Linked DNA regions of Callithrix jacchus. The protein of the gene in region 7 interacts with the protein of the main gene of each other region in a pairwise test. Links are inferred from orthologs where the notes say so. Each region holds a gene or a part of one and is shown on either strand. Other genes may lie near its edges.

Evidence for each region.
Region 1: the proteins of MYOG (region 7) and EIF4E2 interact in binary tests that used the Homo sapiens proteins (3 or more experiments, as listed by UniProt). The two-hybrid records come from large-scale screens. The link is inferred for Callithrix jacchus from reciprocal best matches to the Homo sapiens genes MYOG and EIF4E2.
Region 2: the proteins of MYOG (region 7) and CLUAP1 interact in binary tests that used the Homo sapiens proteins (3 or more experiments, as listed by UniProt). The two-hybrid records come from large-scale screens. The link is inferred for Callithrix jacchus from reciprocal best matches to the Homo sapiens genes MYOG and CLUAP1.
Region 3: the proteins of MYOG (region 7) and TXNDC9 interact in binary tests that used the Homo sapiens proteins (3 or more experiments, as listed by UniProt). The two-hybrid records come from large-scale screens. The link is inferred for Callithrix jacchus from reciprocal best matches to the Homo sapiens genes MYOG and TXNDC9.
Region 4: the proteins of MYOG (region 7) and FTL interact in binary tests that used the Homo sapiens proteins (3 or more experiments, as listed by UniProt). The two-hybrid records come from large-scale screens. The link is inferred for Callithrix jacchus from reciprocal best matches to the Homo sapiens genes MYOG and FTL.
Region 5: the proteins of MYOG (region 7) and POLR2C interact in a two-hybrid assay, tested with the Homo sapiens proteins (2 studies listed by BioGRID and IntAct). The link is inferred for Callithrix jacchus from reciprocal best matches to the Homo sapiens genes MYOG and POLR2C.
Region 6: the proteins of MYOG (region 7) and H2AP interact in binary tests that used the Homo sapiens proteins (3 or more experiments, as listed by UniProt). The two-hybrid records come from large-scale screens. The link is inferred for Callithrix jacchus from reciprocal best matches to the Homo sapiens genes MYOG and H2AP.

What each region holds. Positions count from the first base shown.
Region 1 is NC_133507.1:153,927,112-153,931,325, reverse strand, and holds the start of EIF4E2 (eukaryotic translation initiation factor 4E type 2), read right to left. Parts: upstream 2,801-4,214; 5' UTR 2,765-2,800; coding exon 2,745-2,764; intron 1-2,744. UniProt on the Homo sapiens protein: Recognizes and binds the 7-methylguanosine-containing mRNA cap during an early step in the initiation. Acts as a repressor of translation initiation.
Region 2 is NC_133513.1:5,645,511-5,649,010, reverse strand, and holds part of CLUAP1 (clusterin-associated protein 1), read right to left. Parts: intron 3,403-3,500; coding exon 3,346-3,402; intron 461-3,345; coding exon 311-460; 3' UTR 264-310; exon of another isoform or gene 1-263. UniProt on the Homo sapiens protein: Required for cilia biogenesis. Appears to function within the multiple intraflagellar transport complex B (IFT-B). Key regulator of hedgehog signaling.
Region 3 is NC_133515.1:8,919,376-8,922,774, forward strand, and holds part of TXNDC9 (thioredoxin domain-containing protein 9), read right to left. Parts: intron 2,374-3,399; exon of another isoform or gene 758-2,373; intron 461-757; coding exon 206-460; intron 1-205. UniProt on the Homo sapiens protein: Significantly diminishes the chaperonin TCP1 complex ATPase activity, thus negatively impacts protein folding, including that of actin or tubulin.
Region 4 is NC_133523.1:42,798,139-42,801,416, reverse strand, and holds FTL (ferritin light chain), read right to left. Parts: upstream 2,124-3,278; 5' UTR 1,920-2,123; coding exon 1,818-1,919; intron 1,657-1,817; coding exon 1,510-1,656; intron 1,094-1,509; coding exon 968-1,093; intron 796-967; coding exon 643-795; 3' UTR 501-642; downstream 1-500.
Region 5 is NC_133521.1:15,349,338-15,352,083, reverse strand, and holds the end of POLR2C (DNA-directed RNA polymerase II subunit RPB3), read right to left. Parts: intron 2,544-2,746; coding exon 2,375-2,543; intron 2,223-2,374; coding exon 2,148-2,222; intron 1,524-2,147; coding exon 1,379-1,523; 3' UTR 501-1,378; downstream 1-500. UniProt on the Homo sapiens protein: Core component of RNA polymerase II (Pol II), a DNA-dependent RNA polymerase which synthesizes mRNA precursors and many functional non-coding RNAs using the four ribonucleoside triphosphates as substrates.
Region 6 is NC_133524.1:38,777,956-38,780,436, reverse strand, and holds H2AP (huntingtin-interacting protein M), read right to left. Parts: upstream 1,037-2,481; 5' UTR 976-1,036; coding exon 622-975; 3' UTR 501-621; downstream 1-500.
Region 7 is NC_133520.1:30,128,787-30,132,888, forward strand, and holds the start of MYOG (myogenin), read right to left. Parts: upstream 2,801-4,102; 5' UTR 2,749-2,800; coding exon 2,278-2,748; intron 1,531-2,277; coding exon 1,449-1,530; intron 836-1,448; coding exon 714-835; 3' UTR 1-713. UniProt on the Homo sapiens protein: Acts as a transcriptional activator that promotes transcription of muscle-specific target genes and plays a role in muscle differentiation, cell cycle exit and muscle atrophy.

The DNA.
Region 1 (4,214 bases), on a different chromosome or scaffold from region 7:
CAGATTGAGAGGCACTTAAGTCAGCTTGCTAAGCTTCTGCCCAGGTATCTCCTCACCCTCTGAACTAGACCAATTCCTTGTGGGTAGGACCTTAGTTCAATTCATCTTTATACCACCACCATCAGACAGTGGCATAAAACAAATCCCTATTTAATGAATGGTCTCTAGAATCAAAGCAATGAGTGCCAAATAAGTGGTTTAGACAATAGTTAGGAAGGGGCCCAAAGTTAACGATACAGAGTAAAAAGCAAATGACATAGAATAGGGACAAAATCAGTATAGTTGTCTAGATCTGAAAACCATGTTTAACAAAGTCAGGACTGCAGTTTTTGTGATAGCATCTTAGGGTTTTACATATCAATAGGATCAATGGCAATGTGATCTAAGGACTTGGCAAGTCTACCCCTTCTCCACGAAAGCAATTACAATAAAAGGTTTCATTCAGAGAAGTTGAGTCTATACAGTAATGGAGAGTAGAGCTACTCTTTAATCTGAGCCCACTAGATTATGTACTAAGCTCCAGCCACTGGACTTCTAGGCTTCTGACAAACTGAAACATGTCCTCAGGAGCAATGTGGTAAAGAGTGAAGATTAGTAAGGAGAGTAACGTGGTAAAGACTCCAAATATACAGCAATGGCCTAAACACCACAGAATTTCTGAATGAAAAACAACATAAAAAAATAAAACTAGGGCCAGGAGCGCTGTTTTCAATTGCTAATTTCAAATGAAAGAAAGCTTGTTTTTCATTTTCTTTCCTGCAATGCTAGAGGGCAGATGTTAAAAGATTCTGGCTCAATGTAATAGTTAATAATTCAAAGTAATTAAGATGACCCAGGTTTTTCATTAAAGACATAAGGAAAAAAAAAGGCCAAATATAATTTTTGTCTCAAGGTGCTTGAACCAAGGTTACACCACAAACCTGGGAGAGCGCTTCCTGTTACTTAACCTCAGTCTCATTTTCCTTATCCATAAAGGAGATAACAAGATCCCCTTCAGAATTGTTAGAGTAGAAATAACATGAGACTGGGGGCGGTGGCTCACCCCTGTAATCCTAGCACTTTGGGAGGCCAAGGTGGGTAGACCTCTTGAGCCCAGGAGTTTGAGATCCTGGGCAACAAGGTGCAACTGTCTCTACAAAAAATACAAAAAAATTTAGCCAGGCAGGGTAGCACATGCTTGTGGTCCTGGCTACTCTGGAGGCTGAGATGGGAGGATTGCTGGTGCCCGAGAGGTCAAGTGGGCAGTGAGCTGTGATCACACCATTGCACTCCAGCCAGGGGTGACGGAGTGAGACTCTGTCTGTAAAAATATATTTATATGAAAAGTACCTAGCAAGATCCCTGTGGAAGTCCATTATTACCATTCTTACTGCAGACCCCCACATGATTTGGGTAGGCTTAAGCTAGATGACCCATAAAACGTCTTCTTAGGATGAAATTTGATTTGTTCAAATCAGTGGAGGAAGGGGAATAAGGGTCCCAGAAAGCTCCACTTAGGCAGGATTTGGATCTGAAGCTGGGTGTTGCACGGTTTACAAGAGAGATGAAATGGGGTGGGAGTGAGGGGAGAGGTTCGTATAGGATGGGCTCAGTTAAACAGCAGGATAGAGAAAAGACTTTCTCAAATAGCAGAGACATCTCGGCAGCCAGGAAACATTGCTGAGGAGCCATCTGCCTGGAGTGTTGGAAATCCAGTACTCCCTGAATTTGCACAGTACTCGCTGTATTGGAAAAAAACCCAATTTCCCGTCAATAGCACCAGGTCACAACCTAAACTAATAGTAATTCCACTTTACGGTTATATCGCAATAGTTAGCAATGTTCACAAGTATCTTTAAGCACTGCTGAGTGTGAGCTGACCCTTCTCACACCCCGGTGTGGCAGCAGGATACTATCCACTAATGTGGTTTAAGCAACAACGACTCAGAGACTGGGTAACTTTTCTGCAAACAGCTGGAAAGCGGTAAGTCTGAGACTAGAAATCCAGGTCTTCGGATGAAGAGACAGATTTACTAGAAGAGAGTAGGAGCATATTCTACCTCAAGATACAATCCTTGGAGGGGGATAAGTAAAAATACTTTTGCATTTTCTCTCTGTACCTCCAAACCGTTTGATGCTGAAACTAGGAACCGGAGAGGGCAACAAGTATACCTAGCTCTGGGCGAATGTGTAGGAAGATGGGAACCGGAGGGGGAGGAGAAAGAAAGTAGAGTCTCAGGAATATCATTCCTAAGCGAGCCTTCCACTGCGCCGAGCGCAGCAGCCACGTTACCTCCCTGCATCCGCTAAACTCTAAGACACAGGCTGTTACCGTCCCCACTCTGCAGATGAGAAAACTGAGGCTCAGAAGGGAGAGGGAGTGTGTGAGGAAAGCTAGATTCAAAGGCAGTGCGGCCAGACTGCGGAAACACCCAAACCGCCGAGGTCCCCACCCCTCCACGTCGCCGGCAACCCGCATCTTCGGGGCGGGGCGTCCGAAAATCTCCCCCTACAGGGCGGCACAGCCACCCCTTCCCCACGCCCAGCTCTTCGCCCTCGGTCCGGACGGCCCTGGGGTCCCAGGAACCCCTGTAGCCATCGCTCCCCAGCCCCCTCCTCCCCTCCAGCCCAGGCCAGGTCCGGCCGCTGCCGGATCCCGGGAGGGAAGCCGGTGCCGCAGGCTTTGCACCTCCTCAGCCCCAGTGGGGGCGGGAGCGGGGAACGGTTGGAGGAAGGGGCCCCAGGGGCGGCCAGGAGCCACTCACGCGTCGAACTTGTTGTTCATCCTCTCGCCGCCGCTGTCGCCACTGCCTCAAGGAGTGACTTCCGCTCCACCGGGTCCCTCAGCCTTAGGCCCGGCTACTTCCGGTTTTGCGCGAGGCGCACCGGAACGTCGGCGCGCAGGCCCGGCTGGGGGCTGCTATCCCGGGACGCCAGCCCGGGGCGGCTGCGCAGAGGGCTGGCCTAGGCAGCGGAGCTGACTGCTGGCTTCAGGTTTTTCCCAGTCCCGGTGTTTGTGAGCCGCCAGTTCTCCTAAGGGAGCATGTCCTGGCACCCTCCCGCAGCGGCTCGGAAAAAAGACAGCACCGCGGTCGTTGACGGCGCGGACTCTGGACTCGCTGCTTTGGTAAAAACCCTCCTCCTCCTCCTCCAGTGCGGGACGCACCCTCCGGCATCTCTCTTAACCTCCCCAAGGCTTTCCTTTGGCGGCGGCGCCACTCTATTATGGTATTCCTCGTTTTATTGCGCTTTGCAGATAGGGCTTTCTAAAAACAAATTGAGGGTTTGTGGCAGCCCTGAGCCCAGCAATTGTATCAGCGCCATTTTTCCAACTGCGTGTGCTCACTTTGTGTCTCTGTGTTACATTTTGGTAATTTTCAAAATATTTCAGACTTTTTCATGATTTCTGTGTCTGTTATGGTGATCTGTGATCAGTGATCTTTGATGTTGCTATTGTCATTGTTTTGGAGTGCCACATACTGCATCTTTTATATTTTATAAGACAGCGAACTTAATGTTGTGTGTGTTCTGACTGCTTCACCCACAGACTGTTCCCCATCTCCCTCTTCTTGGGCCTCCCTATTCCCTGAGACACAACAATATTGAGATGAGGCAAATTAATAACTCAGCAATGGCCTCTAAGTGCTCAAGTGAAAGGAAGAGTCGTACGTCTCTCACTTTAAATCAGAAACTAGAAATGATTAAACTCAGTGAGGAGGGTATGTCAAAAGCTGAGATAGGCCGAAGGCTAGGCCTTCTGCGGCAAACAGTTAGCCAAGTTGTAAATGCAAAGGAAAAGTTCTTGAAGGAAATTGAAAGTGCTACTCCAATGAACACACGAATGATAAGAAAGCGAAACAGCCTTATCGCTGATATGGAGAAAGTTTTAGTGGCCTGGTTAGAAGATCATACCAGCCGCGACGTTCCTTTAAGCCAAGGCCTAACCCAGAGCAAGGCCCTAACTCTGTTCAACTCTATGAAGGCTGAGAGAGGTGAGGAAGCTGCAGAAGAAAAGTCTGAAGCTAGCAGAGCTTGGTTCATGAGGTTGAAGGAAAGAAGCCGTTTCCATAACATAAAAGCACAGGGTGAAGCAGCTAGTGCTGATGTAGAAGCTGCAGCAAGTTATCCAGAAGCTTTAGCTAAGACCATTGATGAAGGCGGCTACACTAAACAACAGATTTTCAACGTAGAGGAAACAGCCTTCTATTGGAAGAAGATGCCATCTAGGACTTTCA
Region 2 (3,500 bases), on a different chromosome or scaffold from region 7:
CTTGCGTGGCATCAGCTCTTATTTCTCCTTGAGTTTTTGTCCTGCAGATGTCAATCACTAACAACACTCACATTCCTCAAGTTTTAGGAGATAAAAAGGTGAAAAAGAAAAACAAACTGAGATTTGCTTCCATTCTTATTTAAGCTTCATGGAATGCAATCACAGGAGCCTAAAGCAGAAATAAGTATTGCTTCAGTATTCAGAGTCCAGCTAGCTTCGTGAGCAAAACAGGAGCCACCTTCCTAACCTAAGTTCCCATTTACCTACACAACTGAGGATTTTAATCTGCCTGGGTCCCTTAGCAAGAAGGTCAGAAGTCGTTGTCACTGTCCTCCAGCGGTTCAGGTTTCTGGACCCTTTGATTGGGCTTGGTTGGCGAGAGAGCAATGCTCTCATCTTCCAAATCCTCATCCTCCTCATCATCATCTTCCATGTCAATTTCACTGTCCTCCGAATCCTCCTATAGGAAAAAGACGGCAGATACAACAGGGGGTCCCACCTCATTCCTGACATCTTGTCCTAGGATTCTCTGCTTCCCTTTCTATAGCAGCATCCCCATGTGAAGGAAGAGGCTGGCAGAATGGCAGGCAGGCTGTGGGATGGCACACGGATGGGACTGAGGCAATGTTCTGCTGGCTGGAATGTATCATTCAACCAGAATCCTTCAAACACCAGGTGCATCTGGGTGTGGCGCTACAGGGGCTGGCCTTGCCACAGTGTCCCAGAAGCACTCTGGATCTGAAATGAGGACCACAGGACCCAGAGACCCCCCACTACAGATGGCAAGGAGGGCAAAGGTTTGGACAGAGGGAAGGGAGGCCTGTTTTGGCTTTTTGCAGATTGTGGACGGAAAGCAACACAGGCATGGGTATAAGGAGCAAAGTAAGACACCCTCTCCCTCATCAGATCCAGCGCACCCAATCAGCTCAGCTTTAAAATGGGTCCTGCACCCCGTGGAAACCAGGAGGGCCGGTCGTTCTGTCTACATCATTCCTGACAGCGCACACACATGCTTTAATTTCCTTCTTGAAAAAAAAAATCCATTATGTATTCCCACCCTCCTCTCCAGCTGCTCTGGCCCGTCTCCCTCCCCGCACGCAGAGCTCCTGAGTGAGTTGCTGAACTCACTGTCTGCACCTGTGTCCCTCACGGCCGCTTCAGATTCCTCGGGCTCTCACCCGCTGACCCCAGGACTGCTTTTGTCAAGAGTGAAACACTCAATAAAGTGGAAAGATTCTGAGGCCTCAACTTGCGTGAGCGGTGGAATCACACCTTCAGCCTTAAAACCAATCTCCTCCAACCCCCAGGGCCCCTTCTCTAGTCCAGGTCCCCCTCCCTCAGCTTCCCCAACCTCTGCAGGGCAGAGGCAGCTCACGAGCTGGGGCCGCCTCCCTTCTCGTTCTACTTGCTCTCCCTAGGCAGTGACACCTATCCTGTGGCTTAGACCCCATCCAAATATGGGCGGCTCCAAGAATTCAATCTCTAGCCCAGACCTGGCCCTTGAACCCCAGACTTAAATTCCACCTGGCTACTCAACCCTAGCATGTCCAAAACCAAACTGTCCTTCTGCCCTCCAAGCCCCTTTGTCAAGTTGGCCCAATCTCAGAAAATGAAACACTGCTTTCTGTTGATTACACCACAGCCCAGGCACCCTCATTTCTCTAATAGCCTCTGTCTGATCAATTCATAAAACCTGATGGTTCTTAGAGACATCCAGGACCTGCCCAATTCTCAACACCTCTGCTGCCACACCTTCAGCCAAGCACCATCACCCGTGACCTCCATGGCTGCAGGTGCCTCCTAACTGGCCTCTCTCAGATGGAGGTCAGCTCTTGGCCTTTCTGGGCTCACAATTCTCCAGGGCCTTCTCCTTGCACTCAGATAAAACGCAGAGTCTTCATCTCACCCTTCAAGGCTCTGCATAGCCCCCGCTGCCTCTGTCGCTCACCCACAGTCACGCCAGCTCCCTCTGCTTCTTGACGTCAAAAGCGCATCCACACACCCACGTACTGCCAATGTACATGCTTGCTCCCTCCACTCAGGCCCTGCTCAAACACCAATAGAGCCCTTTGCTGACCTCATGGAAGATGCCACTGCCTCCTTTGTCCCTGTCACTCCCTGAAGCTGTTATTCCTCCTGTTAACAGCATGAGCCCTGATCCTCGGCTCCATTGTTATTGCTGCGGTGCCAGCTATGAAGCAGGGGCTTTTCTCTGCCCCCTTGCTGTGTTCCCCAAGATCCATGATAGCACTGGCACTGGCGGGCACTTGACAGACATGTGCTGGATGCTGAGTCAACACATAAAGAACGGAACCCTGTGCCTGGAGGGCTGCATGGATACAGCCTCCTTGAAATTAACAAGTGACCACAAGGGATAAAGCTTAGCTGCAACTAACACATTCTCTCAGAGAATGCAAACACTGAGGAAGAGGCAGGCCGTGCTGACCTTGAATCCCCAGTGCCCATGTCAGACTCCCTCAGCTTCTGTCTTGGGTAGGCAAGATGGAGAGAAGCTATTTACCATCCACGCCCGAGCTTGTTAAGGAAACTACTTACTAGGTGCTCTCTCTGCTTCTCTACAGACCTTGACCTGTGAATTCAAGACCCGATCTCTGTGCATGCTGCCAGCAAGTCTGGGCAGCCTCTCCCCACAGTGAATTCCGCAGCAGCACCAGCTGCGGGTGTGTAAATCTATGTGCACGAACACACGGCCCTGCTTCTGTCTCTGCAGCCGCTAGTGCCATGCCCCAGACACAGGTGCACCCACTAATGGAAGCAGCCTGGGGTCACTCTGTCTAGCTGCCCTTTGCTGTGAACTGAGCAGCACTTCCAGGGACGGCAACAAAGAACAAAGGCCTGAGTAATGGCCAGCAGAGCCCTGAATGACGGGACACCCACGAAGATCCCCAGGCTCCCCTTCTGGTGAAGTGCTCCAGTGAGTTATCCACTCATTAAAGCTCAAGGCAACCTGCCATCTCAGCCTCATCTTACCCGGTGCCCCTGAGGGCCTGGTCTGGGAATAGCACTGCTTCCCAGTTCCTTCCCCAGTACAGGGTACAGGAGAGGGCTGGTCCTGGGCCAGGCCCTCAGCATCCTCCTTCATTTCTAGATTACAGCCCAGGGCCCAAAGGCTGCCCAGCCTGAGCTTTCCCCATCTCCAGGCTCGGGGCTTGTGCCTCCTTCTTATCATAGGGGCCTTTAATGATCCCGCTCTCACTGTGGGACCCCTTTCGAGAGGCTTTTTGCTGAGGATAGAGGAAGCATCACTCCTAGGGAGAGGCCCCCGACTGGCCCTGGAGGGCTGACAGACACCCACAAACGAACGAGGCAGAACAGAAAACCAACCTGCTTCCTGGAGCTGGAAGTCTTGCATTTACCTAACAGAGCTGGTGCTGCTTCCGTCTTTGGAAAGCGAGAATGGAAAGAACAGTGAGAAGGCAAAAAAAAGCAGAGCAAGCACATTCACTTGAAAAGGAATGAGCCATCCATGAGCAAGCAAG
Region 3 (3,399 bases), on a different chromosome or scaffold from region 7:
AATCAGTTTTATCTGTAAATCTGATTTTGCTGTAAAATCATTCTAATAACACATGCTTTAAGAAATATGCTTTTCCTTTGAGAAACTTTCTATGCCTTAGCCGAAAGGTATTAATTTCATAAAATAAATGTTACAATACAAAAGTCCTCTGTAAAAATATCAACTATATGAACTAAAATCAGTATGATCTTTTGTTAAAAGTTACCTGTAATTAAGAATGTCAGAACAACCGAGCCTCCATTCTAAAGTTTCTGTGGTGAAGTCATCTGTATTTCCCAGGTCAGTAAACCCAACAACATAATCTTGTGTTTTCCCGTCTTTTACCAGTGCTAGTGTGGGAATGACTTTGATATGCAGTCTCTCACAAAGGAAAGGTGCTTTTTCCACATTCAGCTTCAAAAATTTGGTCTCGAGGTGTTTCTTGGACAATATCACCAGATGTCTGTCTAGTATTTTACACCTGTACGTAACCACATAGAAAATTATAAGCTAAAACCACAAATCTTTTTTCCAAAATAAATGTCATTAAGGTAAATCTAATAATTATATAGTTTTTCTGTTGAGTCTCATAACATGGCAGCCAACCTGCAAGTGTGTCAGATGACCTCAGTTCCAGATCAAAGGTTAGCTGCCTGATTATGAGATGGGAAAACAGCCTGTAAGATTCTAGAAAGTCAGATTTGCATTAACGATATTATCCTTTAAAATATTAAATATATGCTTTAAGTCATAAAGGAATTTGTCCTATCTCATACAGGAAAACCTGAGAAGGGACAAAGTGAAACTTCACAGAACTCAGAAGAGACAAGAATCAGAAATGCACACATGGTGCCATATTTGGAAGTCATGAAGAAGAACTGAATAGCATCACTGAGGAAAAACTCCTTGCTTCTAAATATGAAACTCGAAGCACATTAAGACTAAGGGTTACTAATAATATTTAAATAAATTTGGCCATTATGCTTTTAGGGAATTAAAAAATACCCATAGTAACTTTTATTAAGCCATCTTCCAATGAAGAGGGAAATAGAAGTAAGATTTTCTTGGCTGGGCACGGTAGCTCACGTCTGTAACCTCAGCACTTTGGGAGGCTGAGGTGGGCAGATCACTTGAGGTCAGGAGTTTGAGACAAGCCTAGCTAACATGGTGAAACCCTGTCTCAACTAAAAATTTAAAAAATCAGCTGGGTTTGGTGATGTGTGCCTGTAATCCCAGCTACTTGGGAGCCTGGGGTAGGAGAATTGCTTGAACCTGGGAGGCAGAGGCTGCAGTGAGCCGAGATTGTGCCATTGCACCCCAACCTGGGTAACATAGTGAAATTCTATCTCAAAAAACAAAACAAACAAAAAAGTGACATCTTCTTTATATTAAAATTTATTTTCTGGCCTGATGCAGTGGCTCACGCCTGTAATCCCAGCATTTTGAGAGGCTGAGGTGGGCAGATCACTTGGGGCCAAGAGTTCAAGACCAGCCTGGTCCATATGGTGAAACCCTATCTCTACTAAAAATATAAAACTTACCTGGGTTTCATGTTGGGCACCTGTAATCACAGCTACACAGGAGGCTGAGGCATGAGAATCGCTCTGACCTGGGAGGCAGAGGTTACAGTGAGCTAAGATTGCGCCACTGCACTCCAGACTGGGCAAGAGAGTGAGACTCTGTCTCAAAAAAAAAATTCGCTTCCAACTGGCCAATTCATGACTGTTTCTAAAACAGACTGTTGCAACAATCTTTTAGACTGGTGGTTCTGAACCCTAGGTGTTCATTATGATCAACTTTTATTTATTTATTTATTTATTTTTGAGGTGGAGTCTCACTTTGTCACTCCGGCTAGAGTGCAGTGGTGTAATCTCGGCTCACTTCAACCTCACCCTCCTGAGTTCAATCGATTCTCCTGTCTCAGCCTCCCGAGTAACTGGGATTACAGGCACCCATTGCCATGCTTGGCTAATTTTTGTATTTTTAGTAGAGACAGGGTTTCACCATAGTGGTCAGGCTGGTCTCAAACTCCTGACCTCAGGCGATCCACATGCTTCAGCTTCCCAAAGTGCAGGGATTACAGGTGTGAGCCACCATGCCCCGCCAGGAACCTATTTTAAATAAGTCTATAATTATACCATTTGTCAATCAATTTCTAAAAATTCAAAAGCAACAGTCATGGTATAAATAGCTATAGGCCTTTATGTACATTTAAAAATAACTAAACAAGCATAATTAAATTGTTTATAACACAAAGGATAAATGCTTGAGATGATGGATACTCCATTTACCCTGATGTGATTATTACACATTGCATGCCTGTGTTAAAATATCTCATGTACCCCATATTTACCTACTATTGGCCACAATAATTAAAAAAATTTTTAAAAAGCAGTAGGCTGGGTTCAAAGCTCAAATCTCTCTCTGTTTTATCATTTAATATCTGAGTGATATTAGGTAAGTCACTTAATTTCTCCAAGTTTTGTTTCCACACATGAAATGAGTGCCTCTGAAGATTATTGTGACTGTTCCAGGGATAATATTCACAAAAGCATTCCATCTACTATGTATGAGGAACTCTGTTAATATATAAAGTTAATTGGATGATTTTCATTTTAATTTTTCAGTTCTGTTTGAAGGTGAGTACTGCTGGTGATGTACCGTTTATACACTCATCAAATGTGTTTATTGACCACCTACTATGTGTCAGGCAGTTGCTTTAGGGCTATGATCCCAGAGCACAGTGGGCCACAATACAGGCAAATGCTCTGCCTCTACAAAACCAACAATTTAGTTGGGTAAGACATAGAAGAAACTAGTGAGGCTGGGTGCCGTGGCTCACGCCTGTAATCCCAACACTTTGGTAGGCCAAGATGGGTGGGTCGCCTGAGGTCAGGAGTTTGAGACCAGCCTGGCCAACATGGCAAAACTCCATCTCTACTAAAAATACGAAAATTAGCCGGGCATGGTGGCAGATGCCTGTAGTCCTGGCTACTTGGGAGGCTGAGGCAGGAGAATCCCTTGAACCCAGGAGGTGGAGGTTGCAGTGAGTCAAGATCCTGCCATTGCACTCCAGCCTGGGCGACTGTGTAAGACTCCATCTCAAGAAAAAAAACCAACCCCCCCCGCCAGAAAAAAATAAAACCCAAAACTAAACAAAAAAAAAGTGGACAAATAATATTTTATATACCAGTATATTTACGTATCACCTCATCATATCTGTGAAAGGTTGGCAACTTGAAGAATGTGTGGCAATCGAAGTTAGTTGTGTACCACAAGGGCAGAGTTTTCTCTGATACCCTTCTGCCTGCCTAATCCCTTCTCTCCCTGTTCCTCACAAGAGATAACACCATCTCAATATTTTCTTTCATTTTTATTCTCTTAGTCAATGAATCCCAGCAATCAATTCTTGAAAGGTGT
Region 4 (3,278 bases), on a different chromosome or scaffold from region 7:
CTTTTTTTATTCTTTTTGGTATTTTTAGCAGAGACAGGGTTTCACCATGTTGGCCAGGCTGGTCTTCAACTCCTGACTTCAGATGACCGACCACCTTAGCCTCCCAAAGTGTTGGGATCACAGGTGTGAGCCACCACACCCGGCCATGGCACACAATATTTAAGAGATTGGCATGATGCCTGGCCTCACCATCACCCATTAAATAGGGCTGTTTCTGGCTACTGAGACCTAACAGATCTGTTTCCAGGGACCAACCTGAGTCTTAATTCAACTCCCTGAATTCTATCTCTACCATCTGGTAGGGACAGTTAACAGCCAGGCAAGCAGAGAACCCTCAGGCTCAACATAACCCACAGACAGCTCTTGTCTTAGAACAGATAAGAAAACCGGAGATGCAGCCAACGCCTTTTTCGCTGCCATCCCAATCCAGCCAGAAGCTTTATGAGAACAGATCCCACCTCATCTTCTGCACCAACCACACCACACACAAAACCACCAGCTGCTTCAAATAGCTTTATTTCCATTTGGTCCAAGGCTTGTAAGGGTAGTTAGAAAGCTGCCTAGTGGCTGGAGGGAGAGGCTTAGGCAGAAGCGCTGTTACTTTGCAAAGGCCCTTCCTAAGTGGCCGGGCTCAGCAGGCTCTTAGTCGTGCTTGAGAGTGAGCCTTTCAAAGAGATACTCGCCCAGCCCAGCCTGTGGGCTGGCCAGCCTGCGGAGGTTGGTCAGGTGGTCACCCATCTTCTTGATGATTTTCACTTCCTCATCTAGGAAGTGACTCTCCAGGAAGTCACAGAGCTGAGAGAAAAGAGGAAGAAATTAGAAACCCAGTCCCTGGAAAAGAGGGAGAGCTCCCAACTGCAGATTGAAATGTGACAGGTGTGAAATGTGGCTCTGAAGGAAATCTGCCCAAAGGGAGGCAAGGCTTGAGGGGTATGGTTGGGTAGCGATGGATGCAGTGGGTTCTTACATGGGGGTCCGTGCGGGCAGAACCCAGGGCATGAAGATCCAAAAGAGCCTGGTTCAGATTTTTCTCCAGGGCCATGGCGGCTTCCATGGCGTCCAGGGTTTTACCCCACTCATCTTGAGCCGGCTTCTATACAGGAGGGAAAGTGCTCAGAATACACACACCGGCACAAAGAACCAAAGTGACATTTCCCAAGAGTCGTTGGGGATCAAAAGGACATGTGACCCTTGTATTTATCACTCCGAACTCCGTCCTTTTTTTTTTTTTTAAATGGGGTTTCACCATGATGGCCAGGCTGGTGCCACCGCGCCCGGCTACTCCGTCCTATCTTTTACAACGACATCTATAGAAGACCACGCAGCGGTGTGGACTGCCGCATCATGGGGGCACTGCACGACGTGAGACACCATTTCCAGCTGTTAAGAACGCTTACAAAACCGAACTCAATCTCCCAGAAGCCCACGCGACATCTAAGCCCACAAGCCAAGGCGCCTCGCGCGCACGGACTGCTGGGAGATGTAGTCCATTACCCTCAAGCCAGTTACCTTGATGTCCTGAAAGAGAGCGCGGCCGCCACGCTGGTTTTGCATCTTCAGGAGACGCTCATAGCCCTCGCGTTTCTCCTCGGCCAATTCGCGGAAGAAGTGGCTCACGCCTTCCAGAGCTACATCATCGCGGTCGAAATAGTAGCCCTGCGGGAAGAGATGGAGGGAACAGTGGTTAGCGAGAGGCGAGGCCAGGGGGAACTCCGCCCTCTGTTTACCCGACCGGACAAAGAAAGCCGGCGCCTGCGCCGAGGGCCGGAGGTGCGCAGTTGGAGGAAATTAGGGCCAGGGGCGTCCCGGGGACTCACCAGAGAGAGGTAGGTGTAGGAGGCCTGCAGGTACACATTGACCAGGTGGTTGACGGCTGCCTCCACGTCGGTGGAATAATTCTGACGAATCTGGGAGCTCATGGTTGGTTGGCAAAAAGGAGCTAACCACAAAAACGGTGTTAGCAGGTTCCCAGAAGCAGGAGATGACCGAGAAGATGGTCCCGGAGGTTGCAACTGGAGAGGAAACTGGAGGGCGGTCGGAGGCTGGAAGAAAGAGTCCCCGGGATCTGTTCCGTCCAAACACTGTTGAAGCAAGAGACAGATCCGCGGGACCGCCGAACTGCTATGGGACGTGGCGAGGGCGGCTCCCTTTATAGTGCGCGGGCCCTCGGGGGCGGGGCGTTCGGGGCGGGCGATCGGCCAATCTGCGGTGGCAGGAGGCGGGACCGAAGGCCGTGCCTGACCAATCCGGAGCAGAAAGGAGTCTCAGCCCCCCGACCCGAAGCAGGGCGAAGTCACGCGCCTGTAACCCGAGGCTGTTGTGAAATGGGGGATGGGGGTTGGGGGCCCTGGGCCTGCTTCAGGGAAGTGAAGGGTTTCATGAGCGGGGTGAGGGTCCCTCTGGGAGCGAGAGTTGTATAGGAGCATTAAGAGCCCTGTGAACTGATGAGCCTGGGGTCCTGGGGTGTCTCGGGAAAGTAAGTCAGATTCTGGGGTTTCCGAGGGCATGGATTTTTTCTGGAACCTTGAGTCTGGAGAGGGGCACCTCAGAGGCGCAGAGAGGATCTCTAGTTGTCCTAGGTTTGCGCTGCGAGATAAGGGGGTCTCGGGATCCTTGGGAAGTTTGAAAGGCTGTAGGTGAACCCCTGGGGATCTCTGGGAGACGGAGGGTTGGGGGGACTGGAGCCCTGGGGTTTACAGAGGCGAGGGTTTACGATGCAAAGTCTGTATTTTTTTGGAGCCCTCCCAGAAGAGATCTTTACGTCTTTGAGATTCTCTGCAGCTTGGAAAGGGCAGTTGTTCTGGAGCCGTGGGGTTCACCCAGTGCTGGAAGCCCGGGAGGAGCATTGTACCAGGTGGGGTGACTTCTGGAACGGTGGACAGCCTTCTGGACCCTCCCAAGATTGGCTGGGCCTTTGGGGATACCTTGGAGCTCTTTCAGGGGCCCAGTGCTTTCCTGGGAGTGGACACAGGGAGGAATGCAATGTCTCTTTCGAGCTTTGCAGTGTCTCTGGGGCTGCATTTCCTGGGGGCTGTTTTGAAGCCAACCCCCTGGCCTCGAGAACTTTGAGAATTCTCCTTGGCCCTGAAACAATCTCTAAAGTTGCCCCAGTGTCTTGGCTGACATGTGCTCCTTCAGGCCCACCAAGAGAAGCTCTGCGTTGTGGACCGATGGACGAGACATCTGTCGTCGGCTGATGCGGATTTTTTACGTGGGCCTGGTCCATGCTGATTTCTGGGAGACAGTTGGCACAAACATTGACCCTACTTAAGCGCCCT
Region 5 (2,746 bases), on a different chromosome or scaffold from region 7:
TGGCCCTGTCTGGCCACTCTGGCCAGCCAAAAGCACTCTGAAACCAAGACCTTCCCATTTCCTCCTCCCCACATGGTGCTGAGGCTCCCTGCTGAAATGCAATTAAAGCAATTGATTTTCTAGTGCTGGTGTTTGTTGACTACCACGCAGAAGGGCTATCTATCTTTCTATTCACATCAAACCTTTGGTTGTGTGGGGTTTTTGTTGTTTTTTGCGTTTTGTTTTGTTTTTTAAAACTTTAGGGTCCTGATTTGTGGGAACAGACCTTCTTGTAAATAACCACTATTTGAGTTGTGGCAGGAGGATGATAAAGCATGCGGCCCCTCCCAAAGGAGCCCTTGAGCCAGAGAGGTGGCACAGTCAGCTCAGCTCTCAACGTGACCAGGGAATGACCACCCAGAGGGATGAGCTAGCCTGAAGGGGGGAACGGGGGTCCAAAGGTCTTTGGCGGGGGAGGCAGAGCTGGCTGGCTCAGCTAAGTGGCACGATGACGCATGAAGGAGATTATGTTGTGCTCTTTATTGCCAAAAATAAACACTTTTAAAAAGACAACTTCTGTTAATCAATAAATATCCTTTCCTTTCTGTACTGGATCTCTGCTTTTCTCCAGGCTGCCTAATTAACTTCTTTGTGTGTTCCTACCCGGAAACAGTGCTAAGGGGTTAGGGCCAGAGCCTTCATTAAGGAGAAATGAAATACTTCTCCTGTGTATGTGGGAGGGGCTCTTGCTCCTGCGGCTGCTTCCACCCCCACCACCACCACCAAACTCAGTGATTAGGCCACTGGTGGCGAAGGGGTTCATAACTGCTGGTAGAGAATGAAATACTGTGTTTATTTGGTGGGGAGGGGACAGCCAGGGTGTAATGCTATTCCCAAAAGATTATTTCTCAAATGAGGGACACCTGGGAATATAAAGTGCCAGCAGGCCGGCCCTGGAGCAAGGACTAGAAGGGTTTATAAGCTCCTTGAATCAAGACTGTGGCACTGGATCCTAACACCAGAAATCTAAGGTACAACTGAAAATTACTCCTTTTGGACAGGAAGGATTTAGCGTAAAGACCCAGACTAACCAGGAGAGAAGTTCAGTGGGTTCCCTACAGGTGCGCTGCAAACAGACTGGAAGGGACGTTCTGGGATCTGGGGAGCCCTGCTGGCAATTACTAAAAGCAGTCAGGACCAATAAAAACCTGTCCTGCCCAAACACCACCGCATCCCTGGTAATCTATCTATGACCCGCTTCTAGTTGGTACTGATGACCTGCCAAGAAGCTCAAGAAGCAGTAGACTAAATTCCCAGAAACTAGAAGAGCCTCAAGAGAGACCCTCAAATCCAGCTGCTGGCCTGAATCTCCGTTTTTGCTGAAGCAGGCAAGCTGCAGCTAATTTATGGTTAGCACGTCACTCTGGATCTCGTGGCTTAATTGAGTTTGTAAATCACTCAGTTTCTTCTTCAATCCAGAGAGGGCTGACAGAACAATGGTTTCAGGACGCAGAGAGCCACAGGACTCCACATTGTAGTAAAACCTAGGAGGTAAGAGTCCAGTGAGCACCCTGCAAGGCAGGCTGGCCAACCTGAGCTCTGGCCATGGAGAACCCTTCCTCGTTCAGGGTCTTGGCTCTGTTCCCACATGGAACTTGACCTTGGGCCGGGGCTGACTTCCCTTCATCTAAAACCTCTTGCATAGAGTAGTTTCAACACACTGCATGACCTCAAGGAGGCTACAACTACCTCATAAGAGTACCTGTGAAAATCCTCAGATTCTGTATGAACACACACCTCACTGAGGAGAGAGTAGAAAACCATGTGAGCAGTGACCAGTGTCACAGCCCCTTCAGTTGCCCCTGTGGAACTTGGGTCAAAATCTCTGCCCCTAGATTTGATCTGAAGAATCTTTTCTTTGGGGGCTGAAAATCAGAATAGGAAAAACCGGTAACTGGAGGGTCCTCTTTGTCACAGTGACCAAAGTGGGGGCTGGCGACATGCCCCCAGGGCATACACATAGCAAATAGCCAAGTTCAGCAGTCAGCAGCCCCTCCTCAGCTTACAAGAACTTCAAGGTGGGGAAGAAGGACTGCCGAGCCCAGAGCTTGCACCAAAACCATCCCTTCTGAGCCCCTTCACCTTCTCATGTCCAACCAGGGTCTTACCTCTCTGGCTTGCCATTGGGGTCATAGGGAGCCTGCGACTCATCCTCATCCAGCTCCGAGTACTCACTCTTTGGCCTGAGGTCAAACACAGGTCAGCACAAGGTTGCCACTGCTGCTTTTGGGGCACTCAATTTCCTAGAGAGCCTGCCACATCTCAGTCACCAGCAGCCATTTCCATGCCATGCCCACCCCCCAAATGCCTGCCACCACTCCTAAAGGGAACATACCATTCCTCAGGCTTGGGGTACACTGTGTGCCTCAGGGCATTGTCTGGATCATATTCAAAAGCCACCCCTGCGGTAGGGTTCCATTTGGCATGCTCCTTGCCAAAGCCCTTTTTGGCATAGGCCCGAAGTCTCAGCTCCTGGCCCTTTCTCAGCTTGACGATGAGAATGTCTGCAGGGGGAGGTACAAGTCAGTCAAGGCCCTGGAGAGAGACGGTTTTCCAAATTCTGACTTGGGAGTGCTACTGCAAGACGACACACATCTGGAAAATTGGGTCTAAAGCCAATTTACGATGAGACTAGACAGTACGAGGCTGTGCCTGGTGTCTGCATCCCACTGGCCCACACAGTGACAGGTCAAGAAGATGTCTGCAC
Region 6 (2,481 bases), on a different chromosome or scaffold from region 7:
TCTTTTATGCATTTTTCGTGATGGTTTTTCCTTCACTCCTCAATGTCTATGTAAAGCCCCTGTCCCATTAAGTTCATGCCAGCCAGTGTGCCCCCTCTCCATCCACCTCTGTGACCGCCGCCATCTGACTTCAGACCTTTGCTATCCTGAATGAAGCCTCCAGCACCTCAGTCAGAGATTGCAGCTCCACCCCAGGCCCCAGCATCAGGCTGGGAATTCAACAAGCCTCAGAGGTCCCCAGCCAACCCCCTGGCCTCACAAGGCCTTCCTGTTCCAAGGCAATGAGGAAGTCTCTGTGTCTACCCCAGCCAGTTCCTCCCCAAAAGGCCAGTGACCTCATAGTCACTATTGGAGACTGCCCCCTCTAAAATCATTAATTCAAAACTCCCCACACTGGCCACCCCTACACCCCTTCAGCTCTCTAGGAATAGCTTCTCCTAGATGTCTCACAAACACCTCCAACCCAAAGTGACGGAAACTAAGTGGAGTCAGAAACATACTCACGGATTTACATCCTTTAATAGCACTTGTTGATGACAACAGCAGGGATTCCTCAGCTATGATATGTTTTTGCCCTGGTTAAGCCTGAGAGGATCCCTTCCAGGCTTTGGAACTCGGTCTTCAGCCATTCTTCTCGGATTTGGGCATCCCATCCAACAGAAAGCAGGTTATATCGCTCTCGAGGCAGTGGGGCTCACGGTTGTTGTCCACTTCTCTCTCCGCATCTTGTGAAGTGTTGTTCATACTGTCATTGTGGCTGGCCTCCAGGCCTACCTGCTCCATGATGAAGTCACCAAGGCAATCGAGCAAGGTAAGGAGGCTATTTATCATGGAGGAAGTCTGGCTTTGGGCATCTCGTTCATCCTGAAGAAGGCGGTCAACGAAGGTCCTAGGGACCTGTGGCTCATTTCTTGAAGGTTCTTGATTCTGATTGTTATTTGTAGGGGAGTTCTTACAGTTTTCTGTTTCTGACATTATGTTTGCTTGGTCTGGCTCTGCTGAGCTATGCTTGATTCTCCTGCTTGAGCAGGTCTCCAAGGACACTGGCACTTAGTCCTGCCCATTGTATCTCTCTGCTCCAGGCCCTGATTGGTCAGGGAGCTAGCTGCCTTTGTGACATCCTAGACTTTGGAATTTCCCTGAGCAGACCTCAGCCTAGAAATGTCTGTGACACTGACCTAGTCACCCTAATGACTGAATCCTGATTTTGAGAGAACTATAACTTTTTATCTGATTTTGACATTGTAAAAATAAATGTGTGTTTCAGTGGAAAACTTTGCTCTATCTTTAGGACATCATTGCAAATTATCTGATTCTAGCCTTACATTATCTCTGAAATCTTGCATAGGTTTTTGTTACTTGTAGGCCACAGATACATGGATGATATATTCTTCAGTAGAGGTTCAGTTGTCCTTCACCTAATGAAACCAATTTTACCTCCATTTACACACAATCATTTAATATTCCTGATGAATATTCCCATATCAATTCTTTGGTTTCCCTTTTGAACCTGTTATAATAACCTTTTCTTTTAGTATATGTTCATTTCATATCTGTATGAGTGTCATGATTTTACTCTATTTGAAAAATATTTTTTAATCATTTTGCAATTAATAATAAGATGCTCAATACCTGTCAGTGCCAGGTAAACATAGTTGATGGAGAAGTGCATCTTGTGCTCAGTTTAAGCCCAGATGTGTATTTCTTGTCTCTCCTAGGTGAAGCCAAAGCACTAAGAGTTGTTTCTTTTCTATTATTTAATTTTACTCTCTGCTAATTCTGTGTTTTCCCTTTGAGTTTTGTTCATTTACAGCCAATAACTTTGCCATTTCACAAGGGAAATAGTGGAAAGAAAATAGTCTCAAATCCAAACAATTTCAAAATCTAACCATTAGGTTTCAAGGCCTGGGAATAGTCTACAGCTTGAGACCCCTCCCTCTGATCACTCTGATCCTGTAACTTCACCTGGGGGAATAAATCTTCCCTCTGGTCTCTTGGTTCTGCCCTCAGTCATTTTTCCTTTATTTTGAATGGTAGCATGTGTTTACAGCCGAGTAGTTTTATCAGCCTGCTTTCTCCTGTCAAATTTTGGGAGTCCTATAGCCTTCTTTCATTTCTTGCTCTATTTCTTTCTTTCAGTCTAAGCTGGCATTGTTTCTGCTGATATAACATTCTCAAAAACTTACATGTGTTTTATGTATGTCATGAGGATTCATGCCATTAGACAGAGTCTTCTTCACAGATCTCTCAGAAAATTCCGTCTCTATTCCTTGCATATTTGAGAAGCACACCCCATATCTCTTCAAAACATCATCTGTGTGATTGAATACTTTGGTCTTTTCATCCCTTAAAGGCACTAACAAAAGAATGGCTAGCCATGCCTTTGATTTTATTTCTGTAGGATGATTTCATGGCAGTGAATTCACTAATTTTGGTGTCTTTTGCAATCTGGATAGGCTGAAAATTTCTTATATCATTAAA
Region 7 (4,102 bases):
AAAAAAATACAAAACAATGGCAAAACCACACGATGCTTAGTTAACAAAAGAAATCACCCCCAAGAGCCCCCAACCCCCTTTCCCTGCCTGTCCCTGGCAACTTCAGCACAGGAGACCTTGGTCAGATGGCAGCTTTACAAACAACACACAAAACAAAACAAAACACAACATAAAACCACTGGAAGGTTCCCAATATTCACTGCAAAAGCTTGGCCCCCCAGAGACTCGGGAACAGAGGATTGTTCCTCTCCCTTTCTTCTCTCTCAATTCAGGGCAGGCCCAGCCCAGCCACTGGCATTGGGAAGAGACCAGAACAGGAGACATGCACAGCTTGTTCAGGTCAGGACACTGTCTTTGTCTCTCAAACCGTTTCATTTGGGGGGTGGGATTAGAGGCCACATTATGATTAAAAAGGAAGCTCCTGAGTTTGCCCCCTGAGCTGAGGCATACACCAGGGGGTGCTCTGGTCCCCTGCTTTACCTCCCTGGAAAGGGGATGCCCTCCAAGGATGCAGCTGAATGAGGGCATCCATTGCCTTGCTGGGGGGTGGGTTAACCTTACATGGATGAGGAAGAGGATAGTCTGGCCTATGGCACCCCAGAGCTGGCTTCCTAGCATCAGGGTGCCCTGGCTTAGGAGGCCCCTGCTGTAGAAGCAGTGGCATCTGTGGCCAGCTTGGGGGTTCACAAGGATGCCCGGCCTGGCAGACAATCTCAGTTGGGCATGGTTTCATCTGGGAAAGCCACAGACACATCTTCCACTGTGATGCTGTCCACGATGGAGGTGAGGGAGTGCAGGTTGTGGGCGTCTGTAGGGTCAGCCGCGAGCAGAGGATCTGTAAGGGGAGGTGGGAGGTGGTGCCTGAGTGAGCAGTGGGGGTTCTTGAGGCCCAGAATGGGGGAATGGGGAATGGGACCCTTGGGGTGACACAGTTTTTCCAGGACAGATGGGTGACAAAGCTCGGGAGTTCTACTCCCTAGTCCCTGCCTTTCCCCATGCTCTGTGTGTGTGAGTGTGTGTGTTTGTGTGTGTGTGCACGCGCATGCTCCCCTCCTCTCTGAAATCCCCTAGTGAGGTAGGATTTGGAAGCACCACTCCAGTTGGAGCAGGATGGAGCTCCTCAGAGACTGGACCTGCCCTTTTCTGGGCCCAGTTTTGCAGCACTGACTCAGCACTTCGCAGGGACCCCTGGGGCGGGGACATTGCCCTCTCTGTGGAGAAGGTCAGCCACCAGGCATCAGCTGGGGAGCTGCAGGAGCCACCATCACTCCTTTGCTGGTCAAGACTATAGGGGCACACGGAACCTCCCAGCCCACCCTTTGGGCCCTGGAGTCCGCAGGTCCCTGCAGAGACCCAAGGAAGAGGACCAGAGCAAGGAAGAAGGTAAGAGGGGAGAACCTGGCCCAGGGAGGGACTGAGGGATTGGAGCCAAGTTTGCCCTCACTTACCCCCGGGGTTGGCACCGAACTCCAGTGTGCTGCCCCACTCTGGACTGCAGGAGGCGCTGTGAGAGCTGCATTCGCTGGGCACCTGCAAGACAGGGCGAAGGCCCAAGGTCAGGGCACAGCCATTCTTTGATGTGTCTGTCTGCCTAGTCCCAGTGGGCAGAAGCACCTGTGGTGGGGTCAGAGGGTGGGCCACAGGCTGTGGCCTTCCAGTGTAGGCCATCCCCAACCCCAGAATCTTTGCAACCAGCTCCTCCACTCCCCAGAGGCCCTGCTTCCAGGCCTTCCTGGCCTCCATTCTGGGTGGTGGTTCTGCCCTCAGAGGACACCAGCTTAAAGGGATCCCTGGTTCTCCTGACCCTGGGGATAAGGGTAATGGGAACAGACTGGCCCAGTGAGAGTCGCTCTGCACAGGCCTGCTGGAGTTCCAGTGAGACTGAGTGGGTTTTCTCTCTGCTCAGCCACACCCAGGATGGGGCGAGACGGGGGACAAGGCAGTCTTCTCTGGCGAACTTGGCCTGGCCATTTAGGCTCTGACTCAGGCGCTGGGGTTAATCCTCAGCCTTGCTCCCGATCCTTTCTTTAGTCCTGTGTTCCCCACTCCCACCCCCCTGTACTTCCTCCCCACTGCCTTTATCTCCTCGGGAAAGAACACAGAACACGGGAGGTCAGCTGGACAGCCCAGCTCTGACCAGGGAAGGGCTCCTGCAGCCCCTCAATCCTGTCTGGCACCTACTTCAACCCTCCGAACCCCTGTTGGGGTCTTGAGGCTGTCCAGGTGCCTCCCTCTGGCGCCCTGCCCCTGGGGCAGGAGGATGGGATGGCCACTTACCCCTGGCTGGGGCCCACCCCCGCCCCGGTAGCGGAGGTCTCGCTCCTCCTGGTTGAGGGAGCTGAGCAGGGCCTGCAGGCGCTCGATGTATTGGATGGCGCTGCGCAGGATCTCCACCTTGGGCAGCCGCTGGTTGGGGTTGAGCAGGGTGCTCCTCTTCAGGGCCTCGAAGGCCTCGTTCACCTTCTTGAGCCGGCGCTTCTCCCTCAGTGTGGCTGCCCGCCGCCGGTCCACGGACACCGACTTCCTCTTACACACCTTACATGCCCACGGCAGGCACTGGCCGGGGCAGTGTTCAGGGGTCCCCAGCCCCTTGTCCTCGAGGGGCCCTCGGGCCTCAGGGCTCAAGCTGAGCTCTGTCCGCTCATAGCCTGGTGGCTCGAAGCCCTGGAGGTGGACAGGCAGGTAGTTTTCCCCGTCATAGAAGCGGGGTTCCTGGTAGAAATAGGGGGATGTTTCATATAGCTCCATGGGGTCGGAAAAGGCTTGTTCCTGCCACCAGCCCCCAAGCTCCTGCAGCCCCTCACGCCAACTGCTGGGTGCCATTTAAACCCTCCCCGCTGGCATGGAACCAGAGATAAATATAGCCAACGCCACAGAAACCTGAGCCCCCTCTAAGCTGTTGCTGCACATCAAGACGTTTACAGTGGATTACATGTGATTCCCTTCTCTCTCCCCTATGGCCCCCACCCCACCCAGCCAGCCTGCCCCTGGCCCAGGCGGGCTCCTGTGCACGGGTTGGGAGGCTGTCGGGTGTAATTTGATTAGTTTTCATTTCTCAGCAGCCCTGGTGGGGCAAGGGGCATTGGGGGAGGACACATTCCCCTCTCATCTGCTCCTTTCAATTACTCCTAGCTGGGCGGCCTGCCTACTCTCTCCTTGCTAGTCTTAAAGAAGCTGGTGGTTGTAGGGGGAGGAGGGAACAAGGAAAGGTAGGCTTAGGCTGGAAGGGGCCCTAAGAGTCAACTTATCCATCTCCCTGCTTCCTGATAGCACCTTAATTACACTACATCAGTCGGATGAGACTCTTAAAGACCTCCCTCCGAAAAGAATGGGACTGCTTCAGATTCTGGGTATCCACGGGCACTCAGTATCCAGGGATAAGAAGGATCGAGACTCAGAGTAGCTCATGGATTCCACTTTCGGGGTTCCCAAGCAGCTTTGACCTGTATGTTCTCTTAGGTCTCATGTGATGGCAGGGGGTAAATTGAGGCAAGAGAAATTATTTGGGTTTTGGTTTTCTTGCCAGGGGTCAAGAGAAATTTTCTCTTTAATACAGCGGCCGTGGTCAGAGCAGGGATTAGAATTTACAGCCTACACGTTGCCACCTTCCCCAGAGCATCAAGGTCAAGATTACTAAGCTCCCTGTCTCCTCCCTGTCTCACTCTGGACCATTGATTTGTCCTTCTATGTTACCTCCTCAACTCTTTTTCCAGCACCAGAATTCTCCTGACTCATTACTGTGGATGGGGGTGGGAAAGGAGAAATAACGGAGCCTTCAAACTCAGCTTAAATCTCCTCTCTCCTTGACCACCGGGCTTGGTTGTTCTGCCTCTTTCTGTCCAAGGCATCAATTTTACAAGTAACATGCAGGTCTCAAATGTCAGGTGGAGCAGGGACTATTTAATCTTCAGGCCTCTCAGGCCATGATCACCTCTCAGTAGGTGCCTCAGGATCTGAGAGGACAAATTCCTTCCAATGCAGTAGGCAGACTTCAGACAACAGCATGAACAGGGCTCAGTCTTAGGGCTGGGAATTATAGGGACACCCCAGACAGGGTCCCTGCCCTCGACCTTACCATCTGGTAGACAACAGTGGTCACCTC